4 linked regions of the Oryzias latipes genome follow. The protein of the gene in region 1 interacts with the protein of each later gene in a biochemical or structural test. Links are inferred from orthologs where the notes say so. Each region holds a gene or a part of one and is shown in the gene's direction. Other genes may lie near its edges.

Evidence for each region.
Region 2: the proteins of rad51 (region 1) and rad54b form a complex in vitro, tested with the Homo sapiens proteins (2 studies listed by BioGRID). The link is inferred for Oryzias latipes from reciprocal best matches to the Homo sapiens genes RAD51 and RAD54B.
Region 3: the proteins of rad51 (region 1) and fbh1 form a complex in vitro, tested with the Homo sapiens proteins (2 studies listed by BioGRID, with this or other methods). The link is inferred for Oryzias latipes from reciprocal best matches to the Homo sapiens genes RAD51 and FBH1.
Region 4: the proteins of rad51 (region 1) and rad52 form a complex in vitro, tested with the Homo sapiens proteins (6 studies listed by BioGRID). The link is inferred for Oryzias latipes from reciprocal best matches to the Homo sapiens genes RAD51 and RAD52.

Annotation. Positions count from the first base shown.
Region 1 is NC_019882.2:19,722,049-19,727,635, forward strand, and holds the start of rad51 (DNA repair protein RAD51 homolog 1), read left to right. Parts: upstream 1-2,175; 5' UTR 2,176-2,246; intron 2,247-2,282; exon of another isoform or gene 2,283-2,367; intron 2,368-3,186; 5' UTR 3,187-3,230; coding exon 3,231-3,320; intron 3,321-3,395; coding exon 3,396-3,533; intron 3,534-3,603; coding exon 3,604-3,721; intron 3,722-3,793; coding exon 3,794-3,885; intron 3,886-3,961; coding exon 3,962-4,056; intron 4,057-4,127; coding exon 4,128-4,241; intron 4,242-4,956; coding exon 4,957-5,086; intron 5,087-5,587. Other genes in the region: centromere-associated protein E, read left to right, coding at 1-162, 274-312, 1,152-1,231.
Region 2 is NC_019874.2:17,753,593-17,759,418, reverse strand, and holds the start of rad54b (DNA repair and recombination protein RAD54B), read left to right. Parts: upstream 1-2,391; 5' UTR 2,392-2,634; intron 2,635-3,113; 5' UTR 3,114-3,138; coding exon 3,139-3,276; intron 3,277-3,543; coding exon 3,544-3,724; intron 3,725-4,802; exon of another isoform or gene 4,803-5,826. Other genes in the region: RING finger protein 151-like, read right to left, coding at 399-538, 677-792, 975-992. UniProt on the Homo sapiens protein: Involved in DNA repair and mitotic recombination. May play an active role in recombination processes in concert with other members of the RAD52 epistasis group.
Region 3 is NC_019881.2:3,015,199-3,020,826, forward strand, and holds the start of fbh1 (F-box DNA helicase 1), read left to right. Parts: upstream 1-2,215; 5' UTR 2,216-2,559; coding exon 2,560-2,578; intron 2,579-2,831; coding exon 2,832-2,999; intron 3,000-5,628. UniProt on the Homo sapiens protein: 3'-5' DNA helicase and substrate-recognition component of the SCF(FBH1) E3 ubiquitin ligase complex that plays a key role in response to stalled/damaged replication forks.
Region 4 is NC_019864.2:21,083,514-21,089,010, reverse strand, and holds the start of rad52 (DNA repair protein RAD52 homolog), read left to right. Parts: upstream 1-2,096; 5' UTR 2,097-2,462; intron 2,463-2,475; exon of another isoform or gene 2,476-2,634; 5' UTR 2,635-2,656; coding exon 2,657-2,704; intron 2,705-2,985; coding exon 2,986-3,087; intron 3,088-3,177; coding exon 3,178-3,271; intron 3,272-3,346; coding exon 3,347-3,414; intron 3,415-3,501; coding exon 3,502-3,620; intron 3,621-3,711; coding exon 3,712-3,787; intron 3,788-3,876; coding exon 3,877-4,103; intron 4,104-4,182; coding exon 4,183-4,352; intron 4,353-5,411; coding exon 5,412-5,489; intron 5,490-5,497. Other genes in the region: proline-rich protein 5, read right to left, coding at 816-848. UniProt on the Homo sapiens protein: Involved in double-stranded break repair. Plays a central role in genetic recombination and DNA repair by promoting the annealing of complementary single-stranded DNA and by stimulation of the RAD51 recombinase.

The DNA of each region.
Region 1 (5,587 bases):
TGAAGGGTCCCGAGTCTCCCAGCAAACCTCTGGACTCGCCCAAGTCCTCGCTCTTCAGATCGCCCAAGAGCAGGTTCTTTGACGCGGGCGGGGCCTCCGAGGTGCTCTCCAGAAACCGTCCCAAGCAGTTCTTTGACAACTCTGCCCTGGGAACCACTCCAGGTACTTCGTCCTGACGTCCTCCTCACACGCTGCCGTTGGAATCCTGCAGCAGCGCTGCTCTTATTGTGAAAGGCTGTTTTCTTGTCTGTGATGTTTGCGTTTGTTTAACAGAGGTTTCACTCGTTCCTGACTCGGCCTACAGCGAAATCGGTAATTTTTGTCCTGTTTGGCAGTGTGAACGCTCACTGGGTGTCTACTGATGGAAGCAGGGGCTGATGGGAGGTCACTGGTCTTTCAAAAGACTTGAACTGTTTGCACTGAGCTCAGATCTGAACAGTTTGGAAGCATTAATCTTCTGCACTTTGTGTCAGCTTAAACTATAAAGCGACTGATCCTGAAATCAAAGCAGTTTACAATTTTTATTATCAAAGAAAGACAAAACATGTTCAAAAAATATTTTTCTCTTATCTGAGAAGTGGAGTTGCTGGAAAAAAGCTGAAACCAAAGTGCAGTTCTTTATTTCCACAGTGTGCTGGTTTTATTGTGAAGGTGCTCCGTGGAAATGGGAGTCTTTCCATTCCAGAGGAAGGCGTTTCAGCAGATTAATAGGCAGGCATATCTGTGGACAGCTGTTTAATTCTGGGAGGACCCTTGACTCTCTCCTTTCTTTAAAAGCAGGCTCTTAATTTGTGAAAAGATCCAGAGGTTTCTTGAGTCACCGTGAAGTTGTTGATTCAAAAGCTACTTCTGGAATTTTCCTGCTTACTAATGTTTTTAACGGTTACTGAAAAGTTTTCTGAAGATGCAAACTAACCTTTGATCTGTTCTGAAGTCTGAAAAAACATAAAGCTGAGCAGATTCATTTTAGTAAAGACAGTAAATTCTGTTAACAAATTCAGGTTTTTTCTTCTTATTTACTTTTTAAATATATATTTATCTGTGTGCATTTGTTCTAACCCCAGTCTTTTTCTTTAAATCCAGGGTAAAGGATTCTGTCATGTTGATGATTAAAGCACAGAAAAAATGTTTTTAAATCTTTTATTTTTCAGATGCTGCAGCTGGAGCCAGTGGGACAGACCCGTGGTGGCCACAGTCTCCCAAAAAAGAAGATTTCTGCAAAACCCAATGAACATTAAAAGAATCCTTTTAAAAATGAATATTTCACTTTTCTTTTAAAGCCAAAAAATAAATCCTGTGTTTTAGTCTGACTTTTTTGTATTTCAGTATAAGAGTGATTCTCCTCTGAGTTGAAAACACTTCATGTGCAATTTTGTTATAATTGTAATAAATGGAAAATGAAATGTGAGGTTTATTCTTTTATTGTTTTAAGGTTACGCTTGGTTGGAAAAAAAAAATTCACTTGAATTTTGTTGCAGTTATGTACGAAAAATGTCAAATTAGTAGGTCACAGCTGTTTTAAATTTGAATTTGCATTTATTGGCCCATGACTTGGATGTTTGTTTTTGAGGAACTAGTTTAAAATCAAACGCATATTTAAGCATGCGGAGGTCATGTTTAAATCCTTTTATGGTGGGGATTTTATTTTCCTATTGAAAGTAAAATAAAGGCTTCAAATTTAAACAAGATGCCAATGATGCCTGAAAGTGCTTTTACAATTCAGTGAAATCTTTGCTCTATCAAAATAAAGGTTTATTTCAATGTTTACTGAAAACCTTATTAGTCACGGATGAATAAATGAATCTAAATACCACTTTTGAAGACTTTTTTTGTTAAAATAATCACAAAAACGTGTCTGACAGACATTTTATTTGGTAAAGACATTACTTATAAACATGAAATTGAGGGGAAAATGCGTTTAAACAGATCTTCCTAATGAGAAATTTTGGATTTTTAACGGATCCCTGTTCTTTGTAGCTTTTCACATTATGAGCAAGCCTCTTTTTTTAAGATTTAAGTATACATATTTTATGTTTTTGTGGAAAACAATTTCAAACTAATATCCATTTACGAAGCTAAAACCGAAAATGTTTAGTTCTTTATTTTTTACTTGATAAAAAAAATGTTCCTTTTCCGGTTTCCTGTTTTGTCAAGGCATGGGAACACATGTGACGTCATCGCGTTCGACAGGAATCTCGTGCGCGGGAGTTTTGTTTGTAGGATCAGCAAACAGAACAAAGCAGCAGGTATTTCATCGAAACCGTGGTCTTTAGTAGAAAAATGTCACTGCTTCTAGGGGGTTCGAACCATGACACTTGGCTCTTTGCTCTTAAACCCAGAGCAGCTTTACGGAAGATCAAACTTTTTGTACGAAATTACGCAAATTAGCGCTAAAGCTAAGTTAGCGGGCGACTTCAATTTAGCCAAAAAATGCTTTGAAAGATACAAATAAGCCTTTTGAAAATATGAACAGCTGCTGTTGTTATTGGAAAACTTTGATTTATAGGAGTCAGTTTGTAGTCGTTTGGTTAAACACTGGTTTCCCCATAAGTGTTACGTCAACTTATCAATAAAGTTTTTGAATTTGAACAACGGGGTGTAACTTCAACAGGCAATGTTAACTTTAGAAAACATTTGTCTCTTCTAATCATTTATTATAAAATGCGGATTAAAAAAAGCTTTGAACACCTGCTGAGACGCTGCAGTTAACATTTTATTTTATCAACTACAACTAAGAACTACAAATCCCTGCTGCATAACAGGCTGCAAATTGGTTTGATAATGCCACTTTATTCCCTGAATTATGTAGAGGAAAGAAAAGTAATTTAAACGTATATATTTAAAATTATTTGACTAATAAAAATTCGTTAGTATTCAGTATATTGCTTAAAAACCTCTAAAGAGGATTGATGGATAATTGCATGCTGGGAAATCATGTTTCACGTGTTTAAGTTTTAAGTTACTGTTAATATTCTTATTCTGTGCTTAGGTGTTTTGGGTCGTTTAAAACGCTCCTATTTTAGTTTAAGAAAATATCCTCAAGTCTTTTATGTTTTGAAGAAAAACTAGTATTAAATCAGTAGGATTTAGTTAAATGAAAGCATTAGACCTCCTTAAACTTTCTGTCCTGTTTTGTTTTGTATCGTGGTGTTTGCTGCTCTGACACTCCTTTTTGACTCTGTGCAGTGAGGACCCTGCCTGAGGAGAATTCAGCTTTTCATTCAAGAGTCATGGCCATGAGGAGCGAGGCTCGGGTGGAGGCAGAAGTGGCGGTGGAGGAGGAGGAGAACTTTGGGCCGCAGCCTCTTAGCAGACTGGAGGTTTGAACCCTGATAGTTCTATTGTGTCTTTTGCAGAAGCTTTGTTGTCTTAAACATTTTGGTTTCTGCTTGCAGCAGTGTGGAATCAGCTCCAGCGACATCAAGAAACTGGAGGACGCAGGCTTCCACACCATTGAGGCCGTGGCGTACGCTCCCAAGAAGGAGCTGCTCAACATCAAAGGCATCAGCGAGGCCAAAGCCGACAAGATCCTAGTGAGGAACAGCAGCTTCTGGCTTCAGGGATTCTGCTGCTCCTACCTAACGGTTCTGTTATCTCTCTCAGACTGAAGCTGCCAAGCTAGTACCGATGGGTTTCACTACAGCCACAGAGTTCCACCAGAGAAGGTCGGAGATCATCCAGATCTCCACAGGATCCAAAGAGCTGGACAAACTCCTGCAGGGTGAGTTTGCTGGAGCTCCTTCACCATCCCTGAGGATTTGAAGAATGTTGACCTTTTCCTTCCTGAGTTCAGGTGGTATTGAGACAGGCTCCATCACAGAGATGTTTGGGGAGTTTCGCACGGGGAAGACGCAGCTGTGCCACACCCTCGCTGTCACGTGTCAGGTAAGATCAGCGCGGAATGGCCAAACTTCCATCTGTCTGATCACGTGAAGCTTTCAGTCCTCTGTTCTGTTTGCAGCTGCCCATCGATCAAGGGGGAGGAGAAGGGAAAGCGATGTACATCGACACAGAGGGGACCTTCAGACCAGAGAGGCTCCTCGCTGTGGCAGAGAGGCGAGTTTCCACCGTGAGCGTCAAACTCCTCATCTTACTTTGAGAAAATGTTAAAACTCTGGGCTCTTCAGGTACGGTCTGGTGGGCAGTGACGTCCTGGACAACGTGGCGTACGCCCGCGCCTTCAACACCGACCATCAGACCCAACTGCTGTACCAAGCTTCAGCCATGATGGCAGAGTCCAGGTGAGTCCTTCACACCTTCTGCTGTCCTCCAGTCCACTTCCTGAGATCAGACAGTTTGCAGGTTTCCGAACACATTCAGTCAAAGGTCACATACCCAAGTGTTTGAGCTTTAAAGTCCGATCATCTTTTTTTAAAATCTATTTTCAAATCATTCCCAGTAATCTTTTTATCATGAATATGCTGATTTTGGCCAAACTAGCATAACTGGTTGCCTCTAGTTGAATGTTTATCCTTCTTTTACAATGCAGCAAATAGGTTCATTTGAAGAATGAGAGATAAAAAATCAATACATTTAAATATATATATATGTTTATTGACATGTTATTGAGGGAAACAGTATGTCAGGAGGGGGCGGCAATGAAATAGAGGATTATGTCATCAGCATGGAGGTGGATGGAGGAGTCAGATGTTCTTAATGTTGATAACTGATGAGATCCATCAGGATAAACCTCAGACAGAACTGCCCCCTGCTGGTGGCTCTGTTAGTGCACAGACAGCGAGGACTTTTCAGGTGCCTCACTGGTCATCATATTTGGTGGACTTTGTGAGGAAGCCGCAGAGAAAACCCACACATGCAGCCAAATGTAATATTCTACCGAAGGAGGTTGACAAATGGAACTGCTGTTAAAAAAAAAGTTGTCAGTTCATCTGTATTGTAAAAAAAGCATCAGAACATCAGCTTTAGATTACTTTAGATGGTGCGTTTGTGTCTCAGGTATGCCCTGCTGATCGTGGATAGCGCCACTGCTCTGTACAGAACCGACTACTCGGGTCGAGGAGAGCTGTCGGCCCGGCAGGGGCACCTGGGCCGGTTCCTGCGCATGCTGCTGCGACTGGCAGACGAGGTACGGGCCCACCTCTGATCCCTGCAGATTCTCACCTCTAGATTACAAATATGATCCAGATTCAGATGTGGTGGTTTTTATGAACAAAATCCAGAATTATCTATTTTTATTTATTTACCAACATTTTGGGGGTTTGATTTGTAGACAAAAACTATCAGCACAGCGTACAAAGTTTTAGGTTCAAATAGAAACTGTAACCCTTGTGCTATCCTAGGTACTTTAACGTTGGGAGTTGGGTCATCTAGACCCACTAGACAGTGCTCTGAACCTTTTTCTTCAATGATTTGTGATCTTCACTGGTGTCCATGGATTACATGAAATCTTTCCACCTTTATCCACCTTTGTCATGGTAGGGAGAACACGTCAATGTAAGGACAAGATAGCACAAGGGTTAAAAAAATATATATGTATTTTATTTTATTTTTTGCCACAAAGGCTGAAAGGAAAATTCCTGTTGAGTCTTTGTTTGAAACTAAATAGTTGTTAATTTGGGGGAACCGG
Region 2 (5,826 bases), on another chromosome or scaffold:
CACTGCAAAAGCCACACACACTCTTTGACAAAATACCTACCACAATGGTAACATATGCACTCAGTTCCTGCCCATGACAGGCCATGGTGACATGATCAAGACAGAATCACACTAGAATCAGCTCCAATTTATTTAAGAATGATTCAACCTGAAACAGCATTCTGGAGATTTTAAGTACAGCCCTGCATATGCAATTGTTTACGGGGTAGTCATGACAACAGATGCACCACCTGTTGTTCACCAATGAAAGAGGTGTCACATTACCTTTGTATCACACATATAAGAGGATAACATACATATATATAAAGATAGATAATAGAGATAAACATTTTTACAACTATTGTGAATAGAAACAAAGCAGCATTCATTTTTGTTTTTCCAGGGAGGAGTTTGCATACCGGTGTTAGAGCAGGATATGAAGGCAAACACACACTCGTCCTCATGTGCATGCAGGCTCTCCAGGGAGCAGACCACCTCACATCCGTGTGCTGCATTCATACAGCGGATCTGCAGGCGGTTCAGGTCATTGCGCATGTACCTGCAATCAAAACACTCAAACTGAGAGGCTCTTCCCATCACTTTCTTGCATCTCTAAAGCAGACAAGTGAAACAAAAATAAAGAGGCATAGAGATTCAGAAAGATATCTGAAGTGTAGTTGCAGGGATGGAGACATACCGGTACAGGGGTTTGAGGTTGCTCACATCTAATGGCAGTCTGTCTTCTGGACAGGTGTGGTGATGAAGCAGCCAGCTGCTGATGCAGGAGCTGCAGTAGGCATGTTCACAGGGTGCCTGAAGGGGGCGTTCAAGCACATCTCGGCACACACAGCACAGCAGACCTTCATTCACGTAGCCTACAAACCTCTCTAGATCATAACCCATCCTATAGAGGATCAAACAGGTTGCACAGAGGTTGTTACATTTCCTGTGCAGTTTACTTGTTTTTCTACTTATTTGCTTTTAATCTCTCTTACCTGAGGATTTGACTTCATCCAGCTCCTCCTGTATCTTGTAGACTTCACCTGCACCTGCTCAATCTATTTGATCACACTGTAGAGGCTCTCCTTCATCCTGAAGCAGAGGGTCTCCTGCTCCTCCTCTTCCTCTGGGAGAGCGTTTCTATGGAGAGCTAACTCTGACAACAATGGTGCAGGATACAGCCAGGCAGGCAGCTGTCGGACAAGAGCAGAGGGACAGACAAAAAAGCAGTCAAGTGTTTCACGAACTGTCTAAAGCCCAGTTGTTACACAGCCCTTAGAGATAATAGCTGCTCCCCTTAACGGCGAAAGTTATCTGAGGTTTCTCTGTTTGTCTAGAGCTGTGGGATTATCGTGGATTACACTCTTTTCGTCCCTGATTGGATTGCAAAGTACACACCATCGGATAGCACGTAGCACATGACAACAGGAATCAAAAGATCACCTTCACTGCCCATACTTATTACCCCTGTCCTTGAGTGTAATGGAATAAAGTCGAAAAGAAAGTAGTAAAAAGACCTTTCTAAAATGGTATGAAGTAAACCAAAGACTTCACAACTAAATGAAGTTAAACTTTCCAGATTTTCTAAACAAAATAGAGTTGGAAATATTAAAAATAGTGACTATTCACTAAAAAAAAGCTGCTTTTAATTCCACCAACAAACGGTTCAATTAATATTTGTTCAGATTTAGTCATTACTTTTCACTAAAATTATTATTTTGTTAAATGTACACCTCTATGCTCGATTTGCTGCTGTCATGGACCACAGAAAAGATCTGAAATACGTTTAGGAGAGCTACTCAAAATGTGTGGACATAAACTGGACTAATGCTTGGAATGTTAGTAAAAAATGTTGTTTAAATAACAAAATAAAAGAGGTGTCCTTCAAAATATCGCATTGTATATATCCTGCCAAAAAAAGAAGATTTGTTGATTTGTTGTTGAAAGAGGAAACCATTTATCACCTGTTTGTGGACTGCATACATACAAATATGTTGTAGATGGAAGTGGAAAATTATATAGAAAATTTAACTAAAAGAAACTGTACAATTTTTGGATAAAGAAATTATTCCGGGTTATCTTAATGACAATGTAGACAAAGATTGTATCTTTATTACATAGATGTTTTCATCATTTGCAAAATTCCATATTAATTAAGCCAAATGGTCCAACTCCAAACCTAAATTCCAGCATTTTTTGAATGAAATCAATCAGTACTGTAACATTATCAAACAACTGCAAAACCAAAAGGCAATTCGAACTGATTTGATTTTTTTTTTTTAATTTCATACACTGTATACGTATTTGTACGTATACATAATTTTTTTTTTTGTTTTGTTTTCTTTCTGCAATGTACATATTCAGTAACCCCTGAGACGTTCACTATTTTGTTCTATTGTGTTATTTGTCAATAAAGTCTGAAAAAAGAGGTTTAGGCATGCTGAAAGGATTTGGCTGTCCAGGTGTTCAAATCAAACATGCTTTTTTCTCATTTGACCACGCCTTTTGTTGACTTTTAACCAATCAGAACCCCCAAATAATTCAGCGGGAGACATGTTTCGGAAGTTGCCTTTTCCGCTTACACTGTGGGAAACTTATCAAGTTGAATTGGACGATATTTAAGTAATTCTCCAAAATAACATTTTCTCGTCGGTGGTATGTATCACGCATTGTTACAAAATATCATTACGGCCGATTTAAACTTTCGACTTGACCACGTGATAACAGTTAAACACAGCCTGTCGCTGACTTTACTTACTTCAAACTAGTCTAAAAGTAAAAATCAAAAACGACAAACGGAACCTGATAAAGGACAAAATACATAAATTGTCACTAGAGTCAACAAAAAAGTTTCAAAACTGTTTGTTGAAGAGTTTATATTTATATTGCGTTAATAGAAACACATTTTCTGATCCTGAGTTGCTAAAACGTAGAAATCTTTAGTCGGTTAAGGTATTCTAAATGCAAAAACTAAAAAAAATCACTAGTCTTTCTTGGTAAAGCATGCCTGTTTTAGATCACTTTTTTTCTTCTATACCTCTTTTTTCTTTAAGAATTTCAAAGGTGTAGCTATTGAAAAATTGCCTATGTTTTCCCCATTGTGTTTCTAAAATGTAGTTTATTTCTGTTTGTAGGGGGCACATTGACCTTTTATAAGGAATGAGGCGTTCAGGAGCACCCAGTCAGCTTTTGGGGAATGCAGTGAAAAAAACACGATTTGTTTCACCAGCTTCACTACTTCAAACTGAATCAAAGCCTTTGGCCCCCAAACCGGGTTTGGTGAATGCATTGGATAAAGTAAGTTCCTATTCACTGTGTTTAATTCTCAATTTTACTAATTTCTCTTTTTTTGAGTAGCTTTTGCAGTTTACCTTTTGGCATATCCCTTCAGGGGTCACCACAGTAAATCAGCTTTTCTAAATCACTAGAAGCAAAGAAATATCCACGTTCAGCGGTTTGACAGTCATATTTTTTTGCCTCATGTAAATTTAGTTGCAGGGATTACTAGGGACCAAAATGAGGACTCAAGTGTGTGTAATTAAACTGATATCACTTCTTTTGCAGGTCCAGAGAAGTCTATCTGTGGCAGTGGAAAGTGAAATAAATGTGTCTGCTAAAACCAGCCAAACTGCCCCTTTGTCACGGGCTCTGGCTCGAGTTCTCAGTGCTACTGACAGTAAAGAAAACGAGGCTGACACCAAATCCGTCCCTGGATTAAGAGATTTAACAGAAGATGAAAATAAAGGTATGTTTCTAATTGTTTGTGTAAATTTATAAGGCAGTACTACTTCTGTTGTATCCTAATGTTTTGGGGAGTCATCAGTAAAATAGTCCCTCTGGTCTACAGTAGAATTTTTTTTTTGCCCTTTATTTTTATACTTAATTTTTGTTTTTTGGTGGTTTTGATCTGACTCTTCAGGTAAACATATTTTGCAACCCAGTTTGTGTGTTTCATACAGCACTTTTTATTCAGTCTGACATACAAGTTTAATTTATCTACTGAAAAGATGTCAGTGTTGTAAAATAATATGCTTGACGGAATTAAATAATATCTGAATTTACTTTATATAACACTTTCAGCTAAACTGTAGAATTTATTCATCATCAGCATCAACAATATATATTTACTTTGTTTAAACTTATCACTTGTATTTCCTTAATTATCATAATAATGGGAAAACAATTTGGCTTTTTTTCTCTAACCTGCTCCACCAACATAAGCATGTCCCTTACAAAACTTTACAGACACATACACACACATACTTCCAAAAGGTTTTAGAAAACAATGCTTAAACATTCAAATTACCATTAAAGCTGACAGATCTAATTAGAACTAATACTGGATTTGGTATTGATCTTATAGACATTGCTAACGCTTTTAGTCAATGACATGACGTCTCACCTCCTGGGACAGACTGTCCAGGGTGTACACACCTTCGCCCAGCATAACCGTTACAGGTACTGTTCAATTCAATTCAATTTTATTTGTATAGCCCAAATTCACAACAACAGTCGTCTCGATGGGCTTAGTATCGGTAATTGAAAAAGTGAAACATGAACTCAAAAGGATCATGAATACAAAGAGTTCAATAGGAAAATTCTAAAATGAACTAACAAACTGACTAAGCTATACTGGCATCCCTGCCCTTAAACCCCTTTCACGGTAAGGAAAAACTCCTAAAAAAAACGGACTCCGGAAAAAACGAAGAAACCTCAGGGGTGCCTCCATGAAGGAGGGATCCTCCCCCAGGACGGACAGGCGATTTACCAGAACTCTTAGAGAAGAATTAACTTATCTAACTCTACAACTACATATTTAAAGTCCAGCAGACGAGCTTTATCCAGACGGAGTTGGGGGGACAGTAAGGGGCGAGAGTCGAGCAGGAGACAGGATCCAGAGCCAGGTGTCAGGGCAGGAGCAGAGACGAGGTACACGGTCAGGTGCAGAGCAGAGACGAGCCAGAGGCAGGATCCACAGCCAGGTGTAGGACAGTAGTACTGTTTGGTGATTTGGTTCGGACGGGTATCAAATTGCACAGCGCCGCTGAAATCGCGCTGCTGCCAGACCTTTGCACCACACCCGTCGCTTAAATCACACCACTGGACCTCAGCACGCGTCTCTACCATGTAATTAACTTTGAAAACTGGCTGCCTCTGCCGCGCCACTCGCGTTCGGTGTGAACACAGCATTGCCCTATCCATAAGACATGCTCCTAAACTTAACCCTTCCTCTGGGTCCGTGCGGCCAAGAAAAAAGTTTCAGCACTGGCTGCACGTATTTGGAAAATTACGTGTGAATAGTCACTTTCTTTCAGGCATTTCATTGTATTTGGTGTGAATTGAACAATCTGCATGTGCTATATTAAAACAGTTCTGAGCCACAGCTAGTGTTGCTGGTGCAATGTAGCCTAAATTATAATGTAATTCAAAGCATTTTTCATGGGCTAGTAAAAGTTATTTTTCGTGTGTAATTTTATTATACAGCAGGGTCTGATACACACAGAAAATATGTCACTTCACCGTTTCTGAGAAACACCTCTATGTCTGTCATTTGTGCCCCCCCTCTTGTGCCAAGCTCTTCACTCATGGAAGACACAGCTTGCAGAAAGGGGAGGGGTCAGGGGCGGGGCTACCAGCTAAGCACCAATGACCACGCCCACGTGGAGGAGATTTTGGAAACGGAGGCTTAAGACAAACATGAAATGTGGCTTTTTAAGACAATTATGTTGTGGGATTTTTGTTATAATTTTATAATCATAAATAGAAAACCACTCGGAATGTTTTTGTTTAAATAAAAAAAGATCTTGGGGGACTAAACACATCTCCCCTCCTTAAACGGTGTCACGT
Region 3 (5,628 bases), on another chromosome or scaffold:
GTCAGATTCCCCCTAGATGTGAATAAATACACACCAATCTTTGTATTTTATTTGAAGAAATTAAAAACCTTTATGCTCTCGCCGGCCACTTATAATGACATGGCGGGCCGCATTTGGCCCCCGGGCCTTGAGTTTGACACATGTGATATACAGCAACATGTGTGCAGAATATGGACTGGAAACCCCAGAGTCAACACCTCCGAAGGTGGTAGAGAATGAGAGGGCAAAGATCCTGTGGGACTTCCAGATCCAGACTGATAGGATGGTAATGGAGAACCAACCAGACATTGTAGTGGTGGATAAAGAACAGAGGAAAGCCGTTGTGGTGGATGTGGCAGTGCCAAGCGATGGGAACATCAGGAAGAAGGAAGACGAGAAACTGGTGAAATACCAGGGACTCAGAGAAGAACTGGAGAAAGCCTGGAAAGTGAAGGTGACAGTGGTGCCTGTGGTAATTGGAGCACTCGGGGCAGTAACACCCAAGCTGGAGGAGTGGCTACAACAGATACCTGGAAAGACCTCAGACCTCTCAGTCCAGAAAAGTGCAGTGCTAGGAACAGCTAAGATACTGCAGGAGCCTCAAGCTCCCAGGCCTCTGGTAGAGGACCCGAGCTTGGAGGAGAAACCACCCGCGGAGGGTGAGAGGGGCGTTTTTTTTGTTGCTTTTTTATTTTATTTTATATATGTGTGTGTGTATATTATATTATATTATATTATATTATATTATATTATATTATATTATATTATATTATATTATATTATATTATATTATATTATATTATATTATATTATATTATATTATATTATATTATATTATATTACATGCATTGTTAGATATAAAGTTTGCATGAGAGGAAGACAGCTGAAATCCTGAATGGACTATTACCTGTTTAAGAAATGGAGCGATTAAATGTGACGACTTCACCCATAGAAAATGGTTTACTTCTAGAAACTTCAGGACCTATGTCTAGAAAATGACAAGTTTTGTTATTTTGACATCGTCATTATTAAAATACCACTGTTAACTAGGCCTGCACAATATACCGCAAATTTATCGTTATCGCAATATCCAGCTCTGCAATAGGCATATCGCAAAAGACTAATATCAAAATTAATCGTAAACCCAAAATGTGTTAAAACAATCTTATGGCAGCTTGATGCTTTTAACGAATCAAATAAATCCCTTTATGCTTTGACCAATCAGATGGACGCCTTCCCATTGTTTACCAATCAGATGGAGGCCTATTATGTTAGATGTTTGTCACCTATGTGGATGAGGGTCATTTGGAGTATAATTTTAAACTGTTTCTAATGAAATGGGAATGATGTTTTTGGCATTTTTCTATTTTTTATATCGCAATATTAATCTCTAATATCGCATATCGCAAGTTTTCCTCATATCGTGCAGCGCTACTGTGAACCATTGAAAAGATAATCCCACTAGAACTTTAGATCAGTGGCGATTTTTTTAAGACTGCAAGGAAAGCTCGGCTTCCCTTATATATAATATAATGTCACAAAATCAATGGTTAAATATGTACTATTGTATTAACATTTTATTGACTAAAAATGTGTTAGAAACGTTCATCTCAAAGACGAGTTCGTTCAGAAACAGTTACATATAGCAGGTCGGCTGACTCCATTTCCTTCTCATACATTCCCGCAGCATCACAGTGCATTTCCCTATTGAAGCCCAGCGTCCATTGACTTCAATGGGGCTGCTTTGAACTTTTTTTTTTTTCCAGCGCTTCGAAACTAGACGGCCATTGGATAAACGCTGCGATTAAGTCCCGCCCACGGACGCTCAGCGTCTCTGGGGGTCAATGGCGGATGGGCTGGCCCGGACTCAGAGCTTCTGCCTGATGATTGGAGGGTCTGTCGAAAGACTCCATCTCCTTTGACTGACAACGATTCTGTACTATAAGGAATCACTGAAGGTATTCGGGCTCAGTCCCATCGCGGATTTCTCATGTTCAGTCGAAATAAAAATTGCTGCAACCTATTTCTTTTATATTTGCTTGGCGAAATTGCTTGATTTTTTTACTTTTAAATAAATAGACAATTTTATGATGTAGGGCGAAAATGAGCGTCCCCTCTCTGACAGACCAGTAGCCGCCACTGCTTTAGATAAATATATATTCCCTTCTCCACCGATCACACTAGGTGGCAGTAAAGAGCAAAATATTTGCTTTCCAACTTCGGTAAAACCAACGAAGAAGAAGCGGACCAATCACTGCTCGAAAGCCAACTTGTTTGGATTTACTCGGTTGCGGTTTCCGACTCTCAATTAAATCTACTTTTCAGTCCTGGCTGCTACTTTTATTTGTGTTTACAGATGTTTTTGCTTGTTTTGTTTGTTCATTTTCGTTGTTCTTAAAAAAAGTCGTGAAAGTAGATAGAACGATACAAGCTAGCAAAACTCTGGAAGCTAGCGTAATGCTTATCGTTTTAAAACCTACATGACATGTACGATACGAATGAGTTTTTAATTTTTTAATCATGTTTTTATGCTAGCAAACATGGTGTGACTTTGTTACTAAGGAACGGACGAGTACAGAGATGGAGGTGTCCGCCAAAGGTGAGTTCAACGTTGAGGTAAACAAAGACGCTGAAATGCTAATTTACTCGAGGTTAAACTTAAACTTAAGTGTCTGAAATAGTTTTCTTTACTGAGTTATGTTTTCTTCAACGGAGTGCTACGTTGTGTTTATGATTCTTGATATCATTTCAGAAACATAATTGCAGCTAGTTTGTGTTAATCGTTAGAAACGCTCACTCTCACGTTTGTGATGGTCTGTAAAGTAAACATCATGGCGCTTCTGTGTCTCCAGGCAGAGCCAAAAGAAAGCATCTGAATGCTCGGGACTGCGCCCAACTGGGACGAAGTGCGAACGGGACAGATGTTCTGACTCAGCCCCACACATCAAACCATGGGCTGGGGTACCGCAACCCAAACCGGGGGCTTCATCCCAGGTCACCAGCAAAGAGAAGGAAACCTGGTAATCTACGACGGAAATCGGCTTCGATTCATTCTCGATTTGGTCCAAGCGTGATTATTTAAGAGAGAAGGGAAAAGTGGGATCTGTAAAACATAAGGAGACATGGATACAAATACAAAAAGCAAAGTAAAACTTCAAGAAAAAGAAATGCCACAGACCATCTTTTAATGTATTTTCAAAACGTTCCCAGTGGTCTTTGCCGTTAATTATGCAGATTGTAGCCAAAATAAAAAAAACTGTCATTTTCTAGGACATAGTTTCTGCAGAGCAACAGGGGTTCATCAGAAATTTGGCTCTAAGTTGTGGCATTGGAGACGACCTGAAGTTGGCTTCCGATTCGTGAGGGCACTCAAGGAAGATTCCACTGCATTTTTCCCACTAAGATCACCTAGAACCAGGTCCTGTTGAAAAACCGCAGGAGCTGGACTGCTCAGTCCTGGAATAAATTATGCAACAGAAACTAAAGATTACATTAAACACTGTTTCTGATTTGTGAAACCTTTCTCTGATCAGTGAAAATGTGAAATAGGATCATTTTTATGCAGTGAGTGCACCTTAGATCAGGTCCTGTTCAAAAACCACACGACCTGGACTGATCAAACCTGGATTAAATTATGATTTAGATACAAAAGAATACATTAAACACAGTTTCTGATTTGTGAAACCTTCCAAGCAGGAAGTTGAAACCTTTATTTGATTTCTGAAAATGAGGAAGGGAGAGATACGATCAAGGGAGGAGTGAAGATATATGAACAACAGAGAAAGAGATGGGTGAACCTGAAATGGGAAGAGATAACCATTACAATACCAGGGTCCAAAAAGAGAGAGGTTATCATAAAAGCTGGTTTTGTCACATTTACTTTGATAGGTTTATGTTATTGTGGCTTTCCTGACACAATAAAATATGCAGTGGAATGTTCCTTTAGTGCTTCGCGAATCGGAAGCTGTGAATCGGAAGCCAACTTCAGGTCGTGCATGGAGTGAGCCTCCCTTCATTTCCCATCATCCATTTGTTTACACTCTCTCCTGGTAGCTTAGAGCCCCTCATACCTCCAACGTAACATTAGTGGTTCAACAAAGGTGACAAATGCCAAATTTGCTGCTTGTCGACAGTTCCTTAGCTTGACACCTCTGCTGCAGGTGGGAGGAGCTACTGTCATGAGTTTTTCTTCATCCTGACATCATGGCAGACACGAAGGATGTTGGTAGAATAGATTTATCTATTTATTCTGAAGAGATCTATGAAGGCATTGGTAAACACGCCTCCATATATGGGTTTATAAATTCTGGGATGCCTTGCTTGTCCTACTCTTTAAAAAATAAAAAAGTTGACTATTTTATCCCACAATGGGAAATTTGTTCTCTGCATTTGACCCCTCCCCTGGGGGAGGGGGAGCTGCAGACGAGCCCCGCGTGGGAACCATTTGGTGGTTTTAACCCCCCAATCCAAACCCTTGATGCTGAGGGAGGGAGGCATTTGGGCCCTTTTTAAAGTCTTCTGAATGACTCGGCCTGGGTTCAAACCCTTCCGGTTACAGGGCGGACACTCTACCCCAAGGCCACTGAACTGGTTTATTTGTATACTGTTGTTTTATGAAGATACAATGCACAAACCATAGTGCTCTTTGTTTTTCACATATACATATCTCAAGTATTTTTTATATGTAGGAATATATTGAATTCATATATGTATGGAATATATGTAAACCCGTGTGTGTGCATGTTTTGAACTACTACTATTTATTACATATATACAGTGGGGCCAAAAAGCATTTAGTCAGCCACCAATTGTGCAAATTCTCCTGCTTAAAAAATAATTTTCATCATACCTCAACGATGAGACACAAAATGAGATAAAAAAAAATCCCGAAAATAACCTAAAAAATTTCATGTCTGAGTTTTTCACTGCAGTACAAAAGCTTGTTGTTGGAGCTAGACTCTCCTTTGGAACTGTTTTCATTGTTTTTGTCATAGTTGTGGTTAAACTCAGTGATGTCACGCCTTTATCCACTGTTGCCTTGTTTCTGTATCTAATAGGGAAAATTGAGAAGAACTCTGTGAATCCTCAGATCTGTTCTTTTCTCTGTGCAGAAAAAAAAAACAAGTTTTCTTTGAGAATTTGGAGATGCACCACTTTTTAGGCTAAACTGAATAAAAAATCAACAACAGCAGCAAATTGTTTACAGCCTTCCTCCCTTATGGGCGGGTACTGGCTGTCTGCGGGTGAAAAATGGGCAGATCTGTATTGAGTAACCAGGTGGGCCACCCAAAACTCAAGGTTGTAAACTTTTTCTACAGGCACGATGCGGGTGAAACATCTGGTAGGGTGACGTGGGGGACATGCAGGCGTCCCGTACAGAATTTTCCTTTTTTTCTGATATATGTGTGATCGTTGATTGTAGCCTGACTTTTAAAAACTAGGAAATGAAACAATCAGAGTTTAGTTTGTGTGGCGTTGTCCGGGGACTTGGGTATCACGTGCGTGTGCAGCATTTGTGCACGGTCAGTAAGGTAAGCAGCAGATAAGGCAAGGTTTTAGCAAACCTGCAGGAAGCCGGCCCTCGAGGCCTGGAGTGTAACACCAAGGGATGAATTTCCCCCACAACATCTCATTTCATGCAGACTGATT
Region 4 (5,497 bases), on another chromosome or scaffold:
AATCACGCAATGCAGAAGTGCAGATTTCCTTCCTACTGTCACAGTTATTTGAACAAAAGCCCGTTTTTGCGGGCGGACTTCCCGCACAAACACCCGGGGGACAAACGCCTGTTTGTACACGTATCTGTGCGTGGGCGAATTCACGGTAACGACAAGTTCGTTTTCCCAGTCAGTGTATTTGGGTGTCTCCCCCATTGAAACAAAACTGCACACACGATGAAGCGCCCCCCAGTGGTCAGAGGGGAGAAATGCAGTCTGGCTTCTCAGACAAAGACAACATAAAAGCTCTGCGAGCATCTTCAGTCACACAAAACAAAGAGGTTTTATTGTTTGTGTTCAGCAGTCCCGCTTTTATTCAACGTTAAAAATCCAGCTGGTTTAGATTAACCAGGAAACGCCACACCAGGTTAGTCTGGGTATTTCTGCTTTTGTACCCCCACCCCTCCTCCTCCTGTGTGTCGGTTACAGTCAGATGCCATTTCTCGTAATTGCTCCTTTTCTGGCCTGCACATATGGAATCGCCTTTTTCTGGTTGAAGCTACGTGACCTGTCAATAAAAGCAAACAAGACTTCAAACAGTCCACGTTGATCGCGCGGGGGAGAATGCGCGAGCAGTCGTGCGTATACGTGGAGCTGCTCCATTGATCTGTGCGGCCGGAATGGAGCGCAGTGTAAACAAAGCCGCTCGTCGTCTGAAGGCACCCGGAGAAGCTGGCGCAGAGGGCCAGGGAGGGGGGGCTTGTATGGATAGGAAAGTGTGTCGCCAAGTTGCGGTGTGTCCTGCGCCTCTGCCCGCCCACAGAACCCGAACTCACCGTTCCTGATCCCGGTGCTGCTCCCTGTAACATGAAACGATCCTGAAGAGCGGAGAGGAAAGCGCCTGTTGTTGGCTCATTAGCTCATCCACCACAGATCCCACGTGGTCGGAGCAGCCTTGCAGGCATCGGGTCGCGGGTGGAAGAAGGATCCTACCTGGGACGCCGCAGGCTCATTCAGGAGGCTGGTGGTGGAGTGGCAGCTCGCTCCGTCGCTCCTCCCTCGTTCTCTGGCTTTGGCTCGTCCCCGCTTTGTTTTGACGTGATGCAAAAGATAATCTGGACGCGTGGACGCGCTTTGTGGTTACAGCTGCGTGCATGAAAGGGAAATTATAAAATGTTTGGAAGAGGAACAAACACAACTTTTTAAGGCATCGCATCACACGGAGCGTGTGTGACGAGGAAAGCGAGTCTCACTGATGACCTGAGCGCAAAAATGCGTAAAATGCGCCACGTTGCCCGGGATTACACTATAGTTTCCCCCAAAACGGCATAAATATTAAACCATCAGATAATTTAGTATAAACTCATTGACCAGATGCGAAAATTGGCGCAAGATGTTTGTATTTTAACTGAACGAAAAACAAATAAACGTGTTTAAACGGCAAATTGAGACATAAACTAGAATATGACCTGATTAAAAAAAAAGATGTATAAATGTAGGACAAAAGAAAAAATATCAAAGCAGGAACAATTCTGCAAAATGATGAAAAAACACCAAAACCCACAAAAAACAAGAAAAAAGGGCATAAAATCGTAAAATGTTTATACAATTTGTGTAAGTTTAGTCATTTATCTCCAAAGATGAAAAAAGGCCAAACGAGAAAATCAAAACAAATATGATACCGAAATAAAAAAAATAGGAACAAAAATCCGAAAGATTTTTCAAGGAAAAAAAATAGAAAGGGAGATGACGGTTTTTCCCGTAAATAATGTAGACTTCAATATCAGCATTCTGTTTTTCTGATGGTCTGTTGGAGATCTTAGGAAGATTTCCGAAATGAAATTAGACAAATAAAACGAATCAAAATGTATGTTATTACTATTATTATTACTATTATTATTACTACTATTATTATTATTATTATCATCATCATCATCGGGGGGTGGTGGGGTGGGCTGTTTTTTTGTTTTTATGTTTGTTTGTTTTCACAAACCTTATAAGTACAAAAGGCACAAAAAGTACAAAAGGTTAAACATTTACTATGGTTTAAGATTAGAACAGTTTGTGAGCAATTTTTGCTTCACTTTTTAAAAATCATATGTAAAAAATACTAATAATAGACTGTAATGTTGTTACGTTTTAGGCTATTTCAGGTATATCTCGTTAATGCAAGTATCTACCCAAAAAAAGACTGAAAACAGATAGTTGCGATGAAGTTAAATGCATTCTTTTCACTATCTAACATGGGTAGTTTAAACATAAGTAATATTGAATGCGTTCCATGTGTGCTTATATCAGTTGAAGTGACTAAAGATCACTTTGAAGAATACATGTTAAACTGATGCCAATAGTTGAATTTCCGTTTACCCTGATGGCATCATTTCATCCTCTTCCGGTTCTCTAAGCGGGAGGTTCAAATCCTCGTAGTGTAAATGCTAACTATTCAGGTTCGTTTTTAACACGGAAAACACATTTTAAATAAGGTGAGTTGTGTCTAAGAGCATTTATTGTAGAATTTTATCTCCTAATAATGGAATATTAGCGAGCGTGCTAAAGCTAGCTTGATCTCCTTGTGTTTTTTGGCTAGCTTTCTGCGTCACTTTTTGCATGATTGGGTGAATTGAGATGACATTTGAAGTACTAGCTGCATGCAAGTTTGTGTTTCAGGCTAGCCATAATGTCGGCTGAGGAAAGGGGCTTCCCTGCACCCACAAAGTTCGGACAGGTTAGTCGATTTACAAACGTACAACTACAACGCCATGATACGATTGAGTAGATGTGCGCATGCTCCACTCACTTAGCTAGAAAATTGGATGCTCCTATTCTCACATCATCCCCATCACTGTAAGGATGCATGCAAGATAAGTGGAACCACCATCTCCTTTAATGTGTTTATATAGATTCATTAAGTGCAAAATAAAATCCTCAAGGCTGTAATAAATAACGTGTAACTTGTTTGTTTACCTTTTCTTCTGTGGCGTGTTATACTGTTCTGCACCCACCCAGTGCACCTACACAGCAGAGGAGTACCAGGCTGTCCACAATGCCTTGCGACAGAAACTGGGACCAGAGTACATCAGTACCAGAATGGCAGGAGGAGGCCAGAAGGCAATTATAGCAAACATATGTTCATTTTTTGCCCAAATTATTCTCTATCTAAACACTTATTCCTAATTGTTTTTGGTTTTTTTTCACCAGGTGTGTTACATTGAAGGACACCGTGTCATTGGCCTGGCCAACGAGATGTTTGGGTACAATGGATGGTCTCACTCCATTTCCCAGCAGAATGTCGGTACGAGAAGCTCAACTCCAAAGCGTTCAGTTCAATTCCGCAAAGCAGATTAACAGTCAGAGGTTTTGCTTCCAGACTTTGTAGACCTTGTCAATGGGAGGTTTTACGTGGGAGTCAGCGCCTTTGTCAAAGTGCAGCTGAAGGTTTGGCGTTGTCATTTGTTTGAATCTGCACCTATAATCCCACAGTGAATGATTTAAAGTACTGTCTAACAAATCTCCTGCCTCTAGGATGGGTCGTTTCATGAGGACGTGGGATATGGAGTTAGTGAGGGCCTGAAATCTAAAGCTCTGTCTCTGGAAAAAGCCAGGAAAGAGGCGGTCACTGACGGCATGAAGAGAGCACTGAAGTCAATAATTCACACAGCAGTATTTATTACTTCATAAATCAATTAGATTAATCCACTATTTGACATAAATATCTGCTTTTTTTTTGTTCAGATGTTTTGGTAATGCCCTCGGAAACTGCATCCTCGATAAAGAATATCTTCTTGCCATTAATAAGATCCCCAGACAGGTCAGACTCAACATATGAAGTAAATTCTCCTTTAGTCTGGATTATTGTCTTCCATTTATGGTTCTAAGATTTTCATTTTCTGTACAAAGCCTCCAGCACCTTTGGACCCAGCAAAGACTAAGCGTTCTGAAGGCGAACCGTCAATCGAGAAGGCCCGGTTCAGCAGTCTTGGCCGAGAGGAGAAACTACTATGTGCAGCGGGTTCTTCCAGGATGCCACTAGAACCCAGAGTATTGAACCAGAATCAGTCTGAACTTCACACACCGAGTGCTGCCAGCTCTGTTCCCAACGTAAAGAGTGAGGATGTCAGCTCCAGGTAAAAAGTAAAAGCTGCTTTGAGACCCTAGCTTCCCATACAAATTCACATCACCTTCTCTCACTGTCCTTCTTTGAAGATCTTTTGGGTCAGAGGTGCACACAGACCCTAAACACTTACGAAAACTCAGACAGCAGGAACTTCAGCAGAAGTTCAAGAAGGAGATGGAGGCCAAGAAGCTCCAGCAGAACCTGGATCAAGTCAAGACAGAGGAGTCTCCGGCACCTGGTGAACGGCGATCCTCTGGAGGTAAAGGTTTGGAGAGGAACAAGTATGGAGGCAACCTGAAATTTCTATTCCATTCAATTACAGTAGAAAAATTCCCACTCCGATTATCTCTTGATCTATATCAAAGTGTTCCCAGTGATTTTGATTATGCTGTTTTTAGCCTTAGAAAAAAAAAACATGTCATTTTTAATGAGACAGATCAGCAGTAGTTCACTGAGTTGTGGATGGACTGTTGGCATGGGGTAACCCCGGCCCCTTTCCCATCATCCACCTGTTTTCATGCTCATTATCTATCAAGCCGTACATTTGTGCCAGGTGCCCGCTCGGACATCTAGTCGTCTACAAGTGGATGCATTAGAACAGGGGTGGGCAATTCCAGGCCTCGAGGGCTGGTGTGTCTGCATGATTTCTAGATAGTCTTGCTCTACTCATGGCTGATTACCTGGTTCAGGTGTGTCCAGCCAATCAGAACATGCCAGAGCAGGGTATGCTGGAAAACATGCAGGAATGCGGCCCTCAGTGCCCACCCCTGCATTAGAATGAAGCAGAGCTTGTGGCTGTACAAGCTCTTTCCAACGGCATTTCCTCATCTGTTACAGATTTACCACAATTTGTTTAACCCTTGTGCTATCCTAGGCACTTTACCATTGGGAGTTGGGTCATCTAGACCCACTAGACAGTGCTCTGAACCTTTTTTCTTCAATGATTTGTGATCTTCACTGGTGTCCATGGACTACATGAAATCTTTCCACCTTTTTCCACCTTTGTCATGCTAGGAATAACACGTCAATGTAAGGGTGGGGTCATAGGATAGCAGAAGGGTTAAAGAAATACTCAGAAATGCTAATTTAAGCATAATTATGAGAAAAATGCCACAAGAAGTCGTTAAACACAACATTTTTATCTGAGTAGGTCTTTAAGATTTTTATTTAAAACACAAACTGAGAAGATGGTTGTGCAGCTCAATGACTTGGCTTATCCATAAAGTTAACTTATGTCAGAAATGCATTTAAATGAAGCTGTTCTGTTATTCAGATGTCTCATAGGGAGCTTTTTCACTCCGTTGTTTCTGTTCTGCAGGTCACAGCGGAGAGTTGAGGTCCAGCGAGAGCATCTCTACTGAAAACCATCCCAGCAGCAAGGACCCATGTTTAGCAGGTTCTGTG